Linked DNA regions of Xenopus tropicalis. The protein of the gene in region 1 binds, or shares a complex with, the protein of each later gene. Links are inferred from orthologs where the notes say so. Each region holds a gene or a part of one and is shown on either strand. Other genes may lie near its edges.

Region 1 (4,020 bases):
TCAATGTGTCTACCCTGCATTGGAAAAGAATTTTATAGCACGGCTTATTTTAGATTTTAGGTAAATATGAATATCTGCTTTTATTTTATCCCAAGAGCTGACATTCATGTATGCCTGTAAGTATATCCATACAGTGCCACAAATAAGTAAAGCATTTTGCAGAAGGAACAGTTCCATTTTATATATAACATTTAAATTCAAACTTTATATATAAATACAGTAAGTTTCTGTAAGTCCCCTCTGGAGAAGCTTACGGTGCCACCCTTCCTACCATGACAGCATGCCATTGTAACTTTAATAAGTAAGGAGACGTATCACTTCCTGGTATAAATGAGCGATAACTGACTAGTGTACTTGCTCTCACTCCCAATAGTTAGTATTTCTAACACTACAGGATTCTAATGCTCCTGCCCATAAGACTTACAGTGCTGATGAACCATAATAAAGCAGAAGCTACCAATGGCAATTTTATTAATACTCAGATTGTAAGCTCTATGGGGCAGGGACCTCCTTCCTACTGTGTCTCATACCACATGGCACTTATAATAAATAAATACATATATGTATATATATATATATATATATATCACTCGTCCTCCCTGTGTGTAATTTTGTATTCTGTAAGACTGTACAGCGCTGAGTACCCTTGTGGCGCTTTATAAATATAGTTGTACATACATACATTAACACGTATGAGACCCTAATGTCTGCCACTTAGCTCCCAGCATGCACAGCGGCACTTACTCCTCTCACTTACAGGGTGCAGGGAGAAACCCACCGCTTAGCAGAGCCGCCCGTTCCACAGTACACACTCTCCGGGGACTGACCCTACCACCCCTATCGGTAACACATACATAGCATCACTTGCTACTCTCATTTCTATTTCGAGCTTCCGTATTCTCTGCAATCATTTGTGAGAGACTTTGGCTGGGTACCCAATTGGTTAGCGAACTCCAAGTACGGTGTCCATTTCAGGACATACATTGTCCAAATTCAAGTGCAAAATTAATACTAGAAGGGGGAGGCGCAATTCAGAGATTTTGGAGGTGGGAGAAAGCAGGACGCACTTGGATTTTTAGATAATTGACCTATAATGGACACCGTAGTCCTGGGCAGTGTGAACCAATCAGAAGGCAAAGGAGTCCGGCTCTATTCCACATACTTCCGGTATCTGGTGCTCTGTGGGCTAGGAATTTCCCATAGGTGTAACTTCACAATGAATTAGAGAGCAGCGGGTCTCCTCCGGTAAGTAGAATACCTGTAGTTCGTCGAGGTGATGGGCCGAGTCTTCGCCGGGGGTTACTGGGAGTTGTTCTTAACCCACAGATGGGAATTCGAAGAACAAATTAGTTTATTATACTCAGTGCCGGTGTGGGCTATAGAGACTGTAGTGCTCCTTATAACGCTGCATAGCTACAAGAAGCAAGCTTTAGCTTTATAGGTGGCAGTCATTTCCAGGGACTGCAACACTAGTCCCCACCGCACTCAGACTGTAAGCTCTGCAGGGCAGAGACCGCCTTCCTTCTGTCTCTCTTACCAGTGACACAGTTATGTATTTTTATACTTATTTATTGCAGTGTTTGTTCTCCCTGTTTACACTTTTCTGTATTGTATAATTGTGCAGCTCTGCATATTCTAGTATGTATGTATGTATATCTTTATTTATAAAGCGCTACTTATGTACGCAGCGCTGTACAGGAGAATACATTAATACAAACGGGCTTATTAAGATAAATACAAAGTCTAACAATAAATATAAATTAATACAAGATACAGTTGCAATAAATTAAAGGAGAAGGAAAGGCTAAGTCACTTGGGGGTGCCAAAATGTTAGGCACCCCCAAGTGACTTAAATAGCTTACCTTGTGCCCCTGTTAGGAGAACACTGCACCAGCCCGGGGTACCTGTAGCGAGCGCTTCCTTCTTCCGTGTTTTTTCTGCGGTGAAATCCCTTGGCCGGCGCATGCGCATTAGAGTGAAAAGCCAACTTTGTTGTTACAGTTCAGCTTTTCACTCTACTGCGCATGCGCAAGCGCGCCAACGCGGGAGAAGGATGCACTCGCTGCTACCCCGTGCTGGTGCTGTTCTCCCTAACGGGCACCAGCCTGGGGTACAAGGTAAGCGATTTAAGTCACTTGGGGGTGCCTAACATTTTGGCACCCCAAGTGACTTAGGATTTCCTTCTCCTTTAAGAGTCAAAGACACAAGAGGATGGAGGTCCCTGCCCCGTAGAGCTTACAGTCGTACAGTAGTAGTACTTTAAAGCTGGTCTGTATGCCACTCCTTTAATGGCTTTGGTTGTAATAGAGAAATTGCGTGTAAGAATTCCTCTTTTAACAACTAAAATTTGTGGAGCAGATTGTCAAAACTGATTCCCACTCACAAGCTCACTAAAATATCTGTGTGCAGCCAGTCTTTTAAAAAGAAAAAAAAAAGGCTTAAACGTTCTGGGGACCTACTGTAGTCATAACAATGGTCTGTCGTTAGAATTTATGGACGATTGGCCAAGTGCAAGATTTAATCTCATGGTTTTTTTTCCACCCACAGATTTCTTTGCCCCCTACTACTGACTTCTCCTGACAGATTGGCCATGACTTCCACAAGTAATATAAATGTTGTTTAAGCGACTGCTAACTTTTTTCTTTACACTATAGTAAAAATACAAATGAATACCTTCTGTATACATTAAATCCTGTATTATATTAAACAACCTTGAAGTGCTTAAAGGGCACCTATTGCAAAAATTACATTTTAATACAGGCTGCATCATATTGAAATAAGAAGATCTCTAGATGTAATCAATTAAAAACTTCTGTACTGTGTCTGAAATAATCAATTTACTCTCCCAGCATCTGTCTCTCTTCATTCTCTCTTTATTCTCTCTCTCTTTATTCTCTCTCTTTATACACTTATTAGGATTCTGATTTTGATTGACAGTTAAGTCTTGTACAGCATTTGGGGGGGGGGGGGGGGGGTAGGTGATCCTTTTGCCTAAAATATGTATTAGAGCTCACTCAAAAATCCTGCCTCTCTACGTCCAGAGAATAAAGACAGGTAGATGCTGAGTGGGAGACAATGAAGAGTAACTTAGTTATTTCAAAAATGGTACAGAATTTTTATTATATTTAGAAAGTTTCTTCCCCATTGTAGGAGAACAACAGATTCTTGTATCTCCAGAAAAGGAAGAAATTTTGGATACACACGTTACAGACTCTTCACTCTAGGGGATTAAAATAAGAGTATAATCTATATGCATTTATTTAATAATATGTGAAAGTAGACTACACTACTGATTTTTGGCTGATTTTTGTATTACACTAGGAATACCAATGATTCTTATTTAATGTATACCTACTGTATGGGATTGCAGCACATTGCATAACATGTACCTTTAAGAGGGGAGCTTTAGGTAGACACTAACAAATGTGTTGTCATTTACTTTTTTGTTTGATAAAGGGGCAGGTTCCATGAAACTTTATTTTTTTTTATTTTTACAATAAAAGCTTTGATTTTCACCAATATTTAGACTTTTTTGTTTATTATAACTTAAGTCTGGTGATTGGCACATTTCTACACTCGGGTTAAGCTAATGTATTCACTGGGGTTGCCTAACACACCATCTCTTAAAAATTTCTATTTCTTAGTCTTTTAATTTATTACTAGTAATATATCCTTTAACATATAGAGACAATGTAATGTGCAGAAATACATGCACTTGTATACTTTCATACCATATTAACAGGAAAATAAACATAATTTTCTTGTATATATGTGCGCTATCTAGAAAAGTGAAAGAGCTGGTAAATATTAATTTCTTTACTTTTCAACACTTCCTCTATATGAGTCCTACTGCCTACAAGGCCAACTGACTTCTGAGTTTTACATATTCCTTCCATAGAACAAAAGACATCAAGGAGCAAAGATGATGCCCCACACGAACTAGAGAGCCAGTTTATCCTGCGACTCCCACAGGTGAGTATGACACCTATCCGAGCAAGGAATCCTATGTAGAGCTGCTTC
Region 2 (4,018 bases), on another chromosome or scaffold:
TAGTTACTGACGGCGAGTGTATAGTTACTGACGGCGAGTGTATTAGTTACTGACGGCGAGTGTATTAGTTACTGACAGTGAGTGGGTTAGTTACTGACAGTGAGTGGGTTAGTTACTGACGGCGAGTGGGTTAGTTACTGACAGTGAGTGGGTTAGTTACTGACAGTGAGTGGGTTAGTTACTGACAGTGAGTGGGTTAGTTACTGACAGTGAGTGGGTTAGTTACTGACAGTGAGTGGGTTAGTTACTGACGGCGAGTGTATTAGTTACTGACAGTGAGTGGGTTAGTTACTGACAGTGAGTGGGTTAGTTACTGACGGCGAGTGGGTTAGTTACTGACAGTGAGTGGGTTAGTTACTGACAGTGAGTGGGTTAGTTACTGACAGTGAGTGGGTTAGTTACTGACAGTGAGTGGGTTAGTTACTGACAGTGAGTGGGTTAGTTACTGACAGTGAGTGGGTTAGTTACTGACAGTGAGTGGGTTAGTTACTGACAGTGAGTGTAAAGAGACCCCCATAATGGCTGCCTGAGTGGAGGCGGGGGGGGGGGGGGTGGATCAATAAAAAGAAAGTCCCAGCTCCCGGGAGGCGGACACTCACCCACTTGCTCAGTGAATCAATGTCGGAGCAATTTGGATCCGGTTTTCACTCTTGTGGTTTCCCAGTCCGTTTTCGGTCTGCGAACTCCGCCATATTGCTACACCCAAATACTGGCCTCAAGCAGCCCCTGCCCCAGGGTAAAGTCCAGCCCGCCGGCTCCTAACAGCCCCGGTTTGGTTGCCTGTGGCGCTTTTCACGCTCAGAAGAAGGAGTTGGTGTCGCGCCTCACTGTCAGTCTGACTCCCATGCACTTCGCTAAGCTCATTTCCGTGTGTAGCAACATGGCGGCACTCTAGCGTGCCTCAGCACGTAACCAAGCGACATCCAATCACAGTCTGGCTTTGTTCAAATCCTAACGCAGCTTTGCTATCACCGCTTTGATTGGCAACATTTTAAGCCAGTAAATGGCCGCGCCCTGGCAGGTAGCCAATGGGCTTTCTACGTAAGGTTATGTTTCTCCTGAGCTGTGTAGCTGCCGCATTGGCCGGTAGGGGGCGCTGGGACACGCCTTGCAGGAAGATGGCGTAAAGGCACTGCCCGTTGTTTTGGGGAGGAGATTAAGTGGAGGAGCTGTTTCCGGGTGTTGACGGAAGTTCCTGTCCAAGGGTGAAGATGAGCGGGACGGAGACAGCGCCAGACTCTCTATCTGCTATTGCCTCAGTCCAGCCCGGTCCGGCCCCAGAGAGTAAGCCCAGCCCGGCAAACATTCCCAAACCCGGGCCTGCCGCGGCCTCTGCAGCTGCTCTACCCGGGAGGGACACGGGGGAGCGAAGAGCCAGCGGTGAGCGGCAGCAACTGAACCGGAGAGGGAGGGGGGGGTACTCACAGGGGACTGGGACTCCAGGAAAGGCCTGGGGAGAGAAACCCAAGCATGGAGGGGAAAGGGAGAGCCGGGGGGGCAGCTGGAGCAGAGAGGGGCCCGGGGGGGGCAGCTGGAGCAGAGAGGGGCCGGGGGGGCAGCTGGAGCAGAGAGGGGCCCGGGGGGGCAGCTGGAGCAGAGAGGGGCCCGGGGGGGGCAGCTGGAGCAGAGAGGGGCCGGGGGGGGCAGCTGGAGCAGAGAGGGGCCGGGGGGGCAGCTGGAGCAGAGAGGGGCCCGGGGGGGGCAGCTGGAGCAGAGAGGGGCCGGGGGGGCAGCTGGAGCAGAGAGGGGCCCGGGGGGGCAGCTGGAGCAGAGAGGGGCCCCGGGGGGGGCAGCTGGAGCAGAGAGGGGCACCGGGGGGGGCAGCTGGAGATGAGAGGGGGCCCCGGGGGGCAGCTGGAGCAGAGAGGGGCCGGGGGGGCAGCTGGAGATGAGAGGGGCCCGGGGGGGGCAGCTGGAGCAAAGAGGGGCCCGGGGGGGGGCAGCTGGAGATGAGAGGGGGCCCCGGGGGGCAGCTGGAGATGAGAGGGGCCGGGGGGGCAGCTGGAGATGAGAGGGGCCCCGGGGGGCAGCTGGAGATGAGAGGGGGGCCCCGGGGGGCAGCTGGAGATGAGAGGGGGGCCCCGGGGGGCAGCTGGAGATGAGAGGGGGGCCCCGGGGGGCAGCTGGAGATGAAAGGGGTCCCGGGGGGCAGCTAGAGAGGAGGGGGCTGTCATAGCTGAGAATTGCCCTTTGCTAGGGCAGGGGGTAGGAGTGGTGCCGGGGGTGAGAAGGGGAACGTATGGAAGGAGCTGGGTGAATGGACCTGTTTCGGGGCAAATGGTGCCCACTGGGTTGTACAATGGGGAGTACAGTTTGGGGACAGATAGGGTGGGGGGGTATTTGGAGAATTGGGCGCAGGTAAGTGCCCGGCTGTGTGACTATTGCCCAGTCCTTTCCAATTCCAATGTATGTTCTGTTATTGATCCTCCAGTCCCTGCATCAGCGGCTGCTGCCCCCTCCGAGGGATCCCTCTCTAATGGCGTGTACCTGCCCCCGGGGGTGGCAAATGGCGATGTCAAACCTGTCATTTCCACTACCCCCCTGGTGGATTTCCTGATGCAGCTGGAGGACTATACCCCTACGGTAAGTGTCCCTTGGGTCTGTATGGGAAATGCTGTGCCCTAGGGTACTGGGGGGGGGCAGTGCCAGGCATTTGCCCCACCTTACACAGTGTCAGGGTGCAGCTTGTGCCTACAGAACATCATTTCTCTGTATGTATGTATATCTGTTGGTGGGAGCTGCCATATTGTTTCCCTGTATCATTGCTTGTATCTGTTCCAACATTTGCTTTACATTCCTTCTCCCGATTTCCTGCAGATCCCAGATGCCGTCACTGGATATTACCTGAACCGGGCCGGGTTTGAAGCATCCGACCCACGCATGTAAGTACAACTCCTGCTGCCATACGTTATTGGCCCGTGGGTACCGGAGCTTCTCAGAGCCCTGTAGCAGTTGCCTCGACTAGGAAGAACCTTCCCTTATTCTGGCCAGCCTGTAGCGCTAGGTTATGGGCCGCCGTGGCCAGTAGCCGTTTGCTCTGTGCCTACCAGGAGAGCTGACAGTCACGCTTATGGCCACAGCAACTGGAGGCCTAAATAGGGGTTAAAGTGCCCGTTCTGGTGCTGCCATTCCGTTATATGTATTATCCCTCTTTATTATTGTTTATCTTGCTTTCTAGGAACTGTAATGTAATTGGTGGAGACTCGTTTGGTGAGATTGCCAAATGAGCGGATCTTCTCCACCTACAGTGGGCAATACCGGGCTAGGGCCAAACCATCGCAATGGCAGATATCGGTTGGGTAGGCCCGTCGGGGGGTGCCCATACACGGGCAGATAAGCTGCTGAATTGGTCTGAAGGACCCGAATCGGCCCTTAAAGGAAAAGTAACACTAAACATTTTTAACTAAAAAATCTATTCTGCCCTCCCCCAATAATTGCCCTATCCTGAAATCCATTTGTTATTGTGAATGCATCAACTATGCGGTGATCGACTGATCGAGCCTAGCCTGACTCATTCCTATATACAGAAGTCAGGGGCTAGATCAGTCGATCACCGCATAGTTGATGCATTCACAATAACAAATGGATTTCAGGATAGGGCAATTATTGGGGGAGGGTAGAATAGATTTTTTTAGTTAAAAATGTTTAGTGTTACTTTTCCTTTAACCCTAGCAACCAATCAGAGTTGCTTTCATTAGTCTTACTGCAGTTATCCAATCAGGCCTGTATGGTGATTACTATGAGTTCAGCACAGCATCTGTATTGACTTCGCTTATTTTGAATTTCACACCGGATCCTCTCGATCTCTGTAGTGATCCGCTGACCCCACCGCTTGTCTCTCCTAGAATCCGGCTGATCTCCTTGGCATCTCAGAAGTTCATCTCTGACATTGCAAATGACGCCTTGCAGCACTGTAAGATGAAGGGGACGGCCTCCGGGAGCTCTCGCAGCAAAAGCAAGGTACCCCGCCAGCAAATGCCCTTCAGTGGGGCTATTGTGCCCAAGGTGCCCCTTTGTT
Region 3 (2,590 bases), on another chromosome or scaffold:
CTGGCAACACCAAATTGGTTGAATCAGCTTGTTAAGCCTTGAACTTCATATGCAGGTTATGATGCATATTTTCTGTTAATCCAATACTACCGTTTCCAGAAGACATGTTAAATATTAAAAGGATGTTGATACTTTGAAAGCTCAGCTAATGATAAACAAAACTCCAAATAATTAAGAGGGGTTCCCAAACCTTTTCATATGACTGTATATCTGTTATTTTTAAAAAGCCAGCATATATTGTAATGCTATATTATATTGTCTTTAAAGATACACTTAAGCTTGTTACTAATATTTTTCCTATTAGATATTATGGAAGACCTATTTTCCATATGATGTTTAATTGGCTTCCCAGTCAGATATATTATTTTACCTTACTTTGTCAGGAACATTCTTTTGTTCCTTACTGATATGTTTTTCTTTTCTCCCTCTGTGATTTATTGTACCTCATCCAGAATATTGTTTTTGTTAAATTTAAAACTGAGGCTTTTTTTTTTTCGTTTGCCAGTGATTGCAGCACGTCCACTCTCAATACCTTATCTGAATGCCCTCCTCCCATCAGAACTAGAATTGCAGCAAGTAGAGGAGACTGATTCCTCAGAGCAAGATGATCAGACTGACGCAGAGAACCTGTCTATGCATCTGCAAGGGGTATATGGAGAGAAACTTGAGTTTGTTATGTCCTATATTTATCATTCCGCATGCAACTTACTGCTTTGCCTTTATATTTTACTGTTATGTTTCCTATGTTTGTTTATCTAACTTAATTTACTCATAGTTCCATAGGGTTGAAAAAAGACCAGAGTCCATCAATTTCAACCCTTCCAAGTAAACCCAGCACACACAAATCTATACTGACCACATACCATATACTGACCATATACACTCACATACATAAACCAACATCAATACTAACTATAGATTTTAGTATCACAATAGCCTTGGATACAATGTTTGGATACTGTTGTAGTCCTTATTTAAAGGAGACATATTGTGTAAAAACATAGAAGGAATCTGCATTAAAAAAGATATGCTTTGGCTGATTTATTAAAAATGTAATGCAGATCCCTACTAGTCCCACTCATCTCTTTCACTTCCTGCTGACTCCTTTCCCAGGCTGTACAGAGGAACTGTTGGCACTTAGCACACTGCACTGTATAATAAGAATTAGAAGCTAGGTAGACCTGATAGGGAACTAAAGCCTGTCTTTGCTACTGTGACTAGAGGGCTGTGATTTGCTACCCCACCCCCATCCTGCTTATGGCAGGAACCATTAGAACATGCCCACCCCTTAATTGAGCAGATATATATATATATATAGAGAGAGCTCCGATAAATTATCTTTTAAAAGATAATGAGCATTTTTTTCCCCTGAGTGAAAAATATATTATTCATTATTGTCACCAAGCTTAGGGGGGGTTACACTTATGCTATATGTCTCCTTTAACTACTTTATTCATTCTTTCCTCAACCTGTTTTCTGCTCAGCCATCCACTACATGCTTTAGAATGCTTCACCCTTTTGTTGACCTTAATTCATCCCAGTGCCCTTTCCCTGGTATATTTTGATATTTTATTGCTTAACTTCCTATTTTATTTTTAACTCCCAAGGACGAGGTGGGCATGGAGAAAGAAAATTCATCTGTTTTACAGCAGAATTCAATGAAGGGTGGAGAGGAAACACTTATAGATAATCCCTATCTACGACCTGTGAAAAAACCTAAGCTGAGGCGTAAGAAATAGAGTAGCCAACCCTGAGATTCTGAATGAAAAACTACAGAATATTTAACTGGACATTAGTGACTCCATTTACCAGAGCTTGAAAAGGATGTTGATATTGAAATTTTATTAAAGTTGGCTGCTCTGTATTGTTGATTACAGGAAAAGTTAAGAGTCCATATGGGCAACTTTAATTTGAGTCTTGACATGCAATGTTTGAACCTTATAAGGATCCTTGAATAGGGATATATATCTTTCATTTCATACCCTGATATAATATATATCTTTTCATTTAATACCCTGATTTGAGGACACAGATACTGTCCCTCATGAGGTGTTTCATAATAAAAGATTTTTGAAAATATGAAGGGTATTTTTTTGTTTGTTTTGCTTAGTTTTGTGCACAATACACGTAATGTTTACACACTTATTGCTATTTTAGAATATAAGCCAAATGTATAGATGAAAAGCAGTAAATGTGCTTTTGTTTCTGCAGTATTAATTAAGTATGCAATTTGGTAGTAAAATAAGATTGGCTGGTAAGTATATTATGCATACACCTAATACAAGAGATTGATCTTAAAACAGTTTTGAAAATGTCTTTGATTTGCTGAGCGCAGACAAATTAGTATGTCTGTACCAAAAGCAATTCAATTACTAAAATAAACAATAGATTGAGTGTTAGGTAAGTGGAAAGGAAAGAGAGTAGGTGGGTCAGCATGATACATAGCCTTTTTTTGTTTATGGATGCAATCATGTATGTATGTATGTATATCTTTATTTATAAATCGCTACTTATGTACGCATCGCTGTACAGTAGAATACAGTAATACCAACGGGATTATTAGGATAATAATAGATAAATACAAAGTATA
Region 4 (4,271 bases), on another chromosome or scaffold:
TAGGAAAACTGGGAAGGACTTACTAACCTTGATGTGGCGATAGCTCCGCCTATGTGGCACCACAGCCCCACCTCTTCCCCACCCTTTGTGATGTCACCCCGCCCCCTTGCCCCACTAAGAAAGCCGGCAGAGGTGGCAACCCTAAAGTAAAACAATAAAAACAAACTTAATTGGTTGCCATATGTTTTTACCCAATTACAAACTTGCCCAATGTATATAAATGAGCCCTGTTATGCTTTGTGTGAAGCAGGACATTCTTAGCAGAAAGATAAGAGGCCCTCGCAAAGGGGACATATTTTCAAGTGCTCCAAATCTCTTCTAGCAGCGATGCGGGCTTAACGACCCATGTTTCCTTCCCATCTGCATTAATATAAATCACCGCTAGGTAAACATACGCCCTGTATAGTAGCTAGCCTAGTCGCAACTTACGGTAGCCATATACAGGCTGATTTTAGCTGCTATCGGTCCTTCAGACCAATTCAGCAGCTTATCTGCCCATGTATGGGCACGCACGACAGGCCACCCCAACCGACATCTGGCCTAAAATCGGCCAGATCTCTATTGGGCAGGTTTGATTTTTATGTTGGGTCAGGGACCACATTGACTGCACATTGATGCAGTCCCCAAACTGACAGCTCCTGTACCCTCTGTTTTAATTCAATCGTACCCCGCGAGTGGGCATAATGAATATCAGCTCATTTGCTGACCTTACAGTGTATGGCCACCTTAAGGGGCATATTTATTATGCTGTGTAAAAAAAAAAAAAAAATTCGCCAGGCTTCGCCGTGTAAAAATGGCGTAATTGTTTTACGCGTTTTTTCTTCCACCCGAACTTATGGGAAAATAACGGCGTAATATCCGACATTCAGGTGGCGATCTTTTCCATTTATTTTACACAGCTTTTTACTACGAATTAGTTTTACACAGCATAATAAATACGCCCCTAAGTGTCCATTAATCCTCAGCTGGGGCAGCCTTATTGCCCCACACATATTCTACTCCGGCCATTGTTTCTGTATAAAAGTTTTTTGGTTTTTTTTTATTATCTTTAGCAATATTTCCCCATTTAATAGTTAAGAATTTTAATGAAAGTTGTGGGAATCAATCCCAGATACGGCTATACCACCACATAAAAGAATTTCAAGAAAAATATATATTTTATATAAGAAAACATAACAAAGTTACTGCTTACTTGTACTAGGTTGAGAGTAGTAGTAAAATAAACTGCGTACCAAAGGGAAATGACAGAGTATACCCACACTGCATCTCGCCAAAACTCAGACGCCTGTACGTTCCTCCGTATTACGCACACGTAACTAAGCCCGGCGCTGTCTCTCTGTAGCTGGCAGTGCTGCGCATACATGTGACATCCGCTGTGCGCCGGCCGCCCTGCCTCACTGGGCACGTGACTGGCTAGTCTATATAAGGAAGAGCGCGCCGTCTGTCGGGCTTGTTTCAAAGCAGATTGAAAAGTCGGCGTTAGAAGACAGTCATGGCGTCGACGAGTCGGTTAGTATGTTACCTACCTTTTGGTGCCTTTGCAGTTGTGTTTGTCCTGTCCGTGGGCAGCATGCAGCGGGGGGCTGCTTTGGATAGACTTTCGCTTTCTATTACGCGGGGTGACGACCCTACTGGGGAGCGAATATGAAACTCTCTATACGGCCCCTAAATCAGAACTAATCGTGCCGTACGGTGCAGTTGTTCGGCCGTAGTCCCTGTGAACTTTGTATTAGTCGCTGGGGGAATGGTGGGGATTGTAATGCAGTGAGTTATGGAAGCCAGCGCTGTCAAGTTCGCCTTCATGGCTGGAATCCTTTGTGCCCTGCAGCCTAACTGGGCCAATATTATCCTGCAATGGGGATTGGTGGAACGAGCCATTATTACTATGTTTTCTCAATGGTGATAGGGTTTTGTGGTGGGCCCTTAACTATGGGATTCAGCATAGTCCAGTTATGGGGAGATTTAGGGATAGTACTTATTTGCCCTATTAGCCCAGGTTGAGGGCCACTGAGCAATTTGGACAGGAGACCCTGTTAAACTGACTGCCCCTGGGCTACAGCTGATTGGCTAATGCAGCAATGCCTGTCTGTCCTTTTTATTAACTAAGGGGCTTTTAAAGTCTAGAACAGTGGTCCCCAACCAGTGGCTCGTGAGCAACATGTTGCTCCCCAACCCTTTGGATGTTGCTCCCAGTGGCCTCAAATAAAGTGCTTATTTTTGAATTCTTGGCTTGGGGGCAAGTTTTGGAGGCATAAAAACCAGGTGTACTGCCAAACAGAGTCTCCTATTAGGCTGGCAGTCCATATAGGGGCTGCCAAATAGCCAATAACAGTCCTTATTTGGCACCCCCAGGTACATGTTTCATGCTCGTGTTGCTCCCCAAGTCTTTTTACACTTAAATGTAGCTCACGGGTAAAAAAGGTTGGGGATCCCTGTTCTAGAAGATAACCTAGTACTGTTTTGTGATTCTGTAAACCGGGTGGGTTCTTGTCTCCGCTATAGGGCAATATCCCTGCAATAGTGGCTTTGGCTTCCCCACTGGTTGCTATGTTAGTTGCTATCATTCTATTGACCTGAGTTTCCTGACCTTTTTCTCTGGGGACCAGAGCAAAGTCTAAAAGTTTTGTGACCCAAGTATTATTTATAATATACTTAATTATAATGTGGCTTATTTCATTTTAAGTAGAAGCAACACTGTAAGTCACTCACCTTAAAGCATTGGAATCCACTTTGGTGCCCTGATCTGTAGGGCTTTTGATGTATGCACTTCTCTTCTGGCTTTTAATTACATTTAGCTGCTTCAGTCAGAGCTACGTAGGTGTCTAAATGGTGTGGCATGGCGCTGTCAGGTGTATGTGGCTATGAGGCTGGCTGCAGTCATGTTTGGCATTTGCTTGGCAGGGGGCCTGTAGATGAGTCTTTAATGCTAAAGAAGTTCTGATCTTTCCCTTATATTGACTATTCTGGGGAAAAAATGGACTTTAATAGCTCCGCTTTCTCCCTGGGTTAAAAGGCTAGTAACAGCAGGACCTAAACACGCAGTCAAAACATTTACATATAACGTATGGGCATATTTATCTGAGTGAAAATAAATCTACCCATCACTTATTAACTTTGATAAATATGCCCCTAAAATACTATAAAAGCGCATTATTCCTTGAAAAATTTGCCCCTAGAGTAAGTAGCGGTTTATTGTCATCCCAACAATATACTTAAAAGTATGCAGTGGAACAAAATATCGTCCTCCTGGAGCAAAAAGGTGCAAGAGAATATGGACCTGTAAAACCTTCCTATGGTGAAGTGTCTATTTTCATCCATTTAATAAATGTGTCCCTTAGTGTGAAAACTTGAAGCTTGGGCACCAGTTTTAGAAAGTGATATCTTATTTGAAGATTCATCAATAGATCCCAAGGGTCTTTAAAAAAAAAAAACACTCTCTGAACACAGTGTGCGTTCTAAACATGCTTCAATGGGGTAAGGGAACATAAGTTGTAATTTTGGGAATATTAGTGCAGTAAAGAGGAGGGTGTGCTAGAAGTGTGTGCCACTCTTTATAAAGCTAAAAGTTTAGTGTTTAGGCCAGTTGTAAAGAGATGGGTAAACACTGCTAAATAAATGTTCATAAACCCTTGAATTTCATGGACTGTAATGTTTAACTTTGCTAATGGTTGCATATGTTAAAGAATGACTGACATTGCTGAATTTGACCTCTTAAGGTGGCCATACACGTAACGATCCGCTCGCCTGGCGAGATCGCAGAGCGAGCGGATCTTCTCCCGATATCCCCACCTACGGGTGGGTGATATCGGGGAATTTAGGCTAATTCGGTATGACTGTAAAGGGCGCAGTTGGTTCGGGGACCGCATCAACGAGCCGATGCGGTCCCCGGTCGGACTGAATCTTTTAACCTGCCCGATCAATATTTGCCCAATTTCAGGCCAGATATCGGTTGGGCAGGCCAGTCCAGTCGTTGCTGACCCTACACAGGCCGAAAAGCTGCCGAATCAGTCCAAGGGACTTATCGGCAGCTACAATCGGCCCGTGTATGGGGACCTTTATGGAGTATTTTTGACAGACCTACCTGCTATCCCATTTGATCAGTCTGTCCAATAGAAAATTCTGCCATTGCCTCACATTTACAGGGCATTAGCAGATCTAGAAGTATATTGTATCCCCAGAATGATTGGGACCTGGGGTTTTTCAGCTAAGAGAAATGTCTGTAATTTGGATCACCATACTTATGTTTGCTAAAAACACACTAAACGCTATTA
Region 5 (3,968 bases), on another chromosome or scaffold:
TTGAGCTGACCAATTTGATTTGGAGCCATTTTATCTAGTCTAATAGTTTCTACTATTTTCTAGCTCATTCTGTAGTGCTACAGCCTAAACTCAGCAATAAACCTACGGCTCCCTGTACTGTTGAGGCATGATCTTACTGAGTACAATGGAAATTAGGCACTAAGTTATGTACATAAACCAACCTTGTGTTGTGAAACTAATTTGTGCGTTTAATTGGTTCCTCAGAGAAAAAGGTTTAGGGGCACATATAGCAAAATTTGTATTATTGTACTACAAAATCTCAGAATTTAGATATAACAAGGCTTGATTATTACATCTGAATGAATACGTTTATGGTTTTTATAGCTTCTTAGGGCTCTGGCACACGGGGAGATTAGTCACCCGCGACAAATCTCCTTGTTCGCGGGAGACTAATCTCCCCAAAATGCCATCCCACCGGCGATTCAGTGAAATCGCGGAAGTTGCCTTGAGAGGAAACTTCCGCTATTTCACTGAAATCGTGCCGCCACGTATGCCATCCCACCAGCGAATGACATTTTCGCCGGTTGGATGGCATTTCGGGGAGATTAATCGCCCGCGAACAGGGAGATTTGTCGTGGCGACTAATCTCCCCGTGTGCCAGAGCCCTTAAGAGATTTGGAGAAACTAAAACCACACGCAGGTCATTTTACAAATTTTGCTTGAAGGAATCCCATTGTGACATCTGCAAGTGTATAATTTGACTACACCATTTTAGTATACCTTTTTTTGTCATTTCAAGCAATTTGCTGCTGCTAATATTATAAATATCCCCTACATCTTATCTTTTTTTTTTTTTTACTTTATTTGTTCTTTTAAACAGTCATCTAGTTGTTGGGTCACTGATTTATACAGTAGGATTAATAGCAGATTAGCTTCATGGTGTTGTCTTTACTGCTTGCTATGGTCACATAAGGTTGTCATACACTTGCAGGTTCTAGCTGCCAATTTAGTTCCTTCAGACCAATTTGGCAGCTTATCTGCCTGTGTATGGGCACCCCCAACACGGATCGGGGACCACATTGGCTCGTTGTTATGGCCCTCTGTCCTACTGTTAACTTATCACATTTACCAATACAGGTGCTAACTGCTGAATGTAAGCTATGTTTTAATGTTTTTTTTTTTTTTTTTTTTTTAACTTCTTTTTATAGGATTTTTGTCTGCTGCTGGAATGGTTTATTTTAATTTGTAGGAACAGCACACTTTGTTTTATTCTTAGTGGGATTTCCAATTAACGCAACATGGATCAAAACAACAGTATACCCCCTTTCCAGGGGTTGGCATCACCACAGGTAAGTGTGAACCCTTTTTTCCCTTTTACCACAATTCCCCCTCCATAAAATAAAATGCCTTTAAAAGCATTGTAATATTCACTTCATTTGCACTTTCTAAATTGGGGGGTATACGGTATACCGGGTGTGGTTAATTTGGACAACAGATACAATACTGAAGAATGAAAAAATAGAAGAAAAACTTGAGACACAGGCCAATATGCTTCCAACTGACTTAGGGGGGAAATGCAAGTCAGCAGCCAATATTGGCTTCAATGCAAATGTTTCTCTTGCTGGGGCGCTTGTCGTAATAGGTGGAGGAACGCCATCCTGAGGGCTCTTGAACACAAAACAGATGTGTTCCGTTCTCATTCATGCATGTGAATGAATATAGAGCTGCATTTCATCCTATGCTTCCTTGTGGTGGAAAGGAGAAGAAATCCAATTCGGGAGACTGCAGGGTGAAAACACCTGTGTGTAAGAGCCCTTAGCTTGTCCTACTCCATGTGCAGGGCTATACCATAAGATTTTCATTAAAGAAATCCCCATGTACTAAGCCCATTTTAACTTGTGATTCAACTTGTGTGTGGGTTTGAGAGCAAATTTGTTATAATTTTTTTTTTTTTTTTGTCTTTTATTTCTGTAGGGTTCTCTGACTCCAGGGATTAACATTTTCAGTCCGTTGATGCCCTATGGAACTGGTCTGACCCCTCAACCTGTACAAACAACTAACAGTTTATCAATATTGGAAGAACAGCAAAGACAACAACAACAGGCCCAGCAGTCTACATCACAACAAGGCAATCAGGGGTCAGGCCAAACCCCACAACTGTTTCACCCACAGACTCTTACCACAGCACCTCTTCCAGGAAATACACCCTTATACCCCTCCCCAATGACTCCCATGACCCCTATTACTCCTGCTACCCCTGCATCAGAAAGTTCAGGAATTGTTCCTCAGCTACAGTAAGTCTCATCATCCTGGGGGACATTTTGCAGATATCATTTGTCAGATTATCTGTATCTGCACACTTGTCAACAAATCCTTATGTTTGTCTGTACATTTCTGTAGTGCCATAGAGCATACAACTCTGCAAATGGTAAATATTAGATATACAGGAAATGGAAACATATTCTGGCATATTTTAATTTTAGACAGTAATGACTTTATTTGTTATACCACATTTGAGTGTGGCCTGTCAAAATTAAAAGACCTTATCTTTGTTTTACCTTTGGTACTAATGAGTATTTTAACAGTGCTGCATTACCTTTGTTTACCCTGTGAGTGTTACATTTGTTTAAAAAAAAAAAAAGCTACATTTCTTAAAAATATAGGAGTCCATATTAGATTTAAAAGCTACCAGGCCAGGGGTGTGTGTATATATTAGGTCTAGAAACAGATGCAGACGGTTTCCTCATTTCAGACTTTTACACCACATTCTTGAGACTGAATTGATGTCATATTTAAAGTGAAACTTTATTGAGGGAGAAAGACTTGTCTTGATATGTAATTTAGCATGTACAGTAGTATCCTAGTTTTAATGTGTCCTATATCTGTCCAACATGTGTGAAAAATAGAACAAGTAAAGAATTGGGAAATTAAAATAGTTTAGCACTTTTACAAGTACTAATAGTGCAAATTTTTTTTTTGTAATACTTTTTAAAAATTTCCCATGGGGCTAGCCATGTTCATTTCCCAGGGTGCCACAGTCATGTGACTTTTGCTCTGATAAAGGTCAGTCACACTTTACTACTGTGCTGCAGATAGGAGTGATATCATCATCCCCCTGCAGGCGATCAGCAGAACAATGTAAGTTAGCAAGCTAGCAGCTCCCAGTAGATATCAGAACAGTACTCAATAGTAAAAAAAAAAAAAAAATTCAAGTCCAGTAGCTCTGGCTCCTTCTGAAAGCTCAGACTCGGGCACAATGCACTGATCTGGCTGCCTACAACTAAAAAATTACTTTTGTTGGTTTAAGAATAAAATTTTAAATGGTAAATTATTTGCTATGTAAACAGTAATTTAGAAATATAAGTACACAATAAAAATTAATGACTGAATACCTTTAAATACAGTGAGCAAAAATATTTGGATTTGTAATAACTGCTTTTACATTGTTCAGGAACATAGTGTCCACTGTAAATCTTGGCTGCAAACTGGATCTGAAAACAATTGCACTTAGAGCGCGAAATGCAGAGTATAACCCTAAGGTAAGACAAAAGCCTTTGTTGTATCTTATTCACCTAATAGTTGCTTTCACTGTGACAGACGGGGAGATTAGTTGCCACGTGACAAATCTCCCTTGTCGCGAGCAACTAATCTCCTCGAAATACTATCCCATTGGCTGGAATGTAAATTGCCAGTGGGATGGCATAAGCATCGCCGAAGTTTCCTCTCAAAGATGCCGCGTATGCCATCCCACCTGCGATTTACATTCTAGCCGGTGGGATGGCATTTCGGGGAGATTAGTCGCAACTAATCATCTCGTCTGTCACAGCCCTAAATATTCTTATCTATCTGTAAAAGTCATTCAGGAGAACACACTGGTGCATTGTATGGCACTTAATTCTGTAAATGTGTGATGAGAAAAGGATTTCCTGTTTGTAATTTTGTCCTGCCATACCCACTGGGCATAGTATTTTTATGCTGGCCTAGAAGTGGCATGAGGATGGGTTATC

What was found.
Region 2: taf7 (region 1) and taf10 share a complex: the UniProt entries of both Homo sapiens proteins name them as parts of the TFIID basal transcription factor complex. The link is inferred for Xenopus tropicalis from reciprocal best matches to the Homo sapiens genes TAF7 and TAF10.
Region 3: taf7 (region 1) and taf8 share a complex: the UniProt entries of both Homo sapiens proteins name them as parts of the TFIID basal transcription factor complex. The link is inferred for Xenopus tropicalis from reciprocal best matches to the Homo sapiens genes TAF7 and TAF8.
Region 4: taf7 (region 1) and gtf2b share a complex: the UniProt entries of both Homo sapiens proteins name them as parts of the TFIID-containing RNA polymerase II pre-initiation complex. The link is inferred for Xenopus tropicalis from reciprocal best matches to the Homo sapiens genes TAF7 and GTF2B.
Region 5: taf7 (region 1) and tbp share a complex: the UniProt entries of both Homo sapiens proteins name them as parts of the TFIID-containing RNA polymerase II pre-initiation complex. The link is inferred for Xenopus tropicalis from reciprocal best matches to the Homo sapiens genes TAF7 and TBP.

What each region holds. Positions count from the first base shown.
Region 1 is NC_030684.2:37,692,436-37,696,455, forward strand, and holds the start of taf7 (transcription initiation factor TFIID subunit 7-like), read left to right. Parts: upstream 1-1,210; 5' UTR 1,211-1,245; intron 1,246-2,547; 5' UTR 2,548-2,590; coding exon 2,591-2,603; intron 2,604-3,898; coding exon 3,899-3,972; intron 3,973-4,020. UniProt on the Homo sapiens protein: The TFIID basal transcription factor complex plays a major role in the initiation of RNA polymerase II (Pol II)-dependent transcription.
Region 2 is NC_030678.2:177,470,357-177,474,374, reverse strand, and holds the start of taf10 (transcription initiation factor TFIID subunit 10), read left to right. Parts: upstream 1-1,200; 5' UTR 1,201-1,211; coding exon 1,212-1,380; intron 1,381-2,431; coding exon 2,432-2,583; intron 2,584-2,817; coding exon 2,818-2,882; intron 2,883-3,812; coding exon of another isoform or gene 3,813-3,845; coding exon 3,846-3,960; intron 3,961-4,018. UniProt on the Homo sapiens protein: The TFIID basal transcription factor complex plays a major role in the initiation of RNA polymerase II (Pol II)-dependent transcription.
Region 3 is NC_030678.2:70,726,573-70,729,162, reverse strand, and holds the end of taf8 (transcription initiation factor TFIID subunit 8), read left to right. Parts: intron 1-505; coding exon 506-648; intron 649-1,607; coding exon 1,608-1,739; 3' UTR 1,740-2,079; downstream 2,080-2,590. UniProt on the Homo sapiens protein: The TFIID basal transcription factor complex plays a major role in the initiation of RNA polymerase II (Pol II)-dependent transcription.
Region 4 is NC_030680.2:105,690,933-105,695,203, forward strand, and holds the start of gtf2b (transcription initiation factor IIB), read left to right. Parts: upstream 1-1,465; 5' UTR 1,466-1,492; coding exon 1,493-1,509; intron 1,510-4,271. UniProt on the Homo sapiens protein: General transcription factor that plays a role in transcription initiation by RNA polymerase II (Pol II). Involved in the pre-initiation complex (PIC) formation and Pol II recruitment at promoter DNA.
Region 5 is NC_030681.2:50,706,513-50,710,480, forward strand, and holds the start of tbp (TATA-box-binding protein), read left to right. Parts: upstream 1-1,168; 5' UTR 1,169-1,259; coding exon 1,260-1,310; intron 1,311-1,935; coding exon 1,936-2,255; intron 2,256-3,412; coding exon 3,413-3,500; intron 3,501-3,968. UniProt on the Homo sapiens protein: The TFIID basal transcription factor complex plays a major role in the initiation of RNA polymerase II (Pol II)-dependent transcription.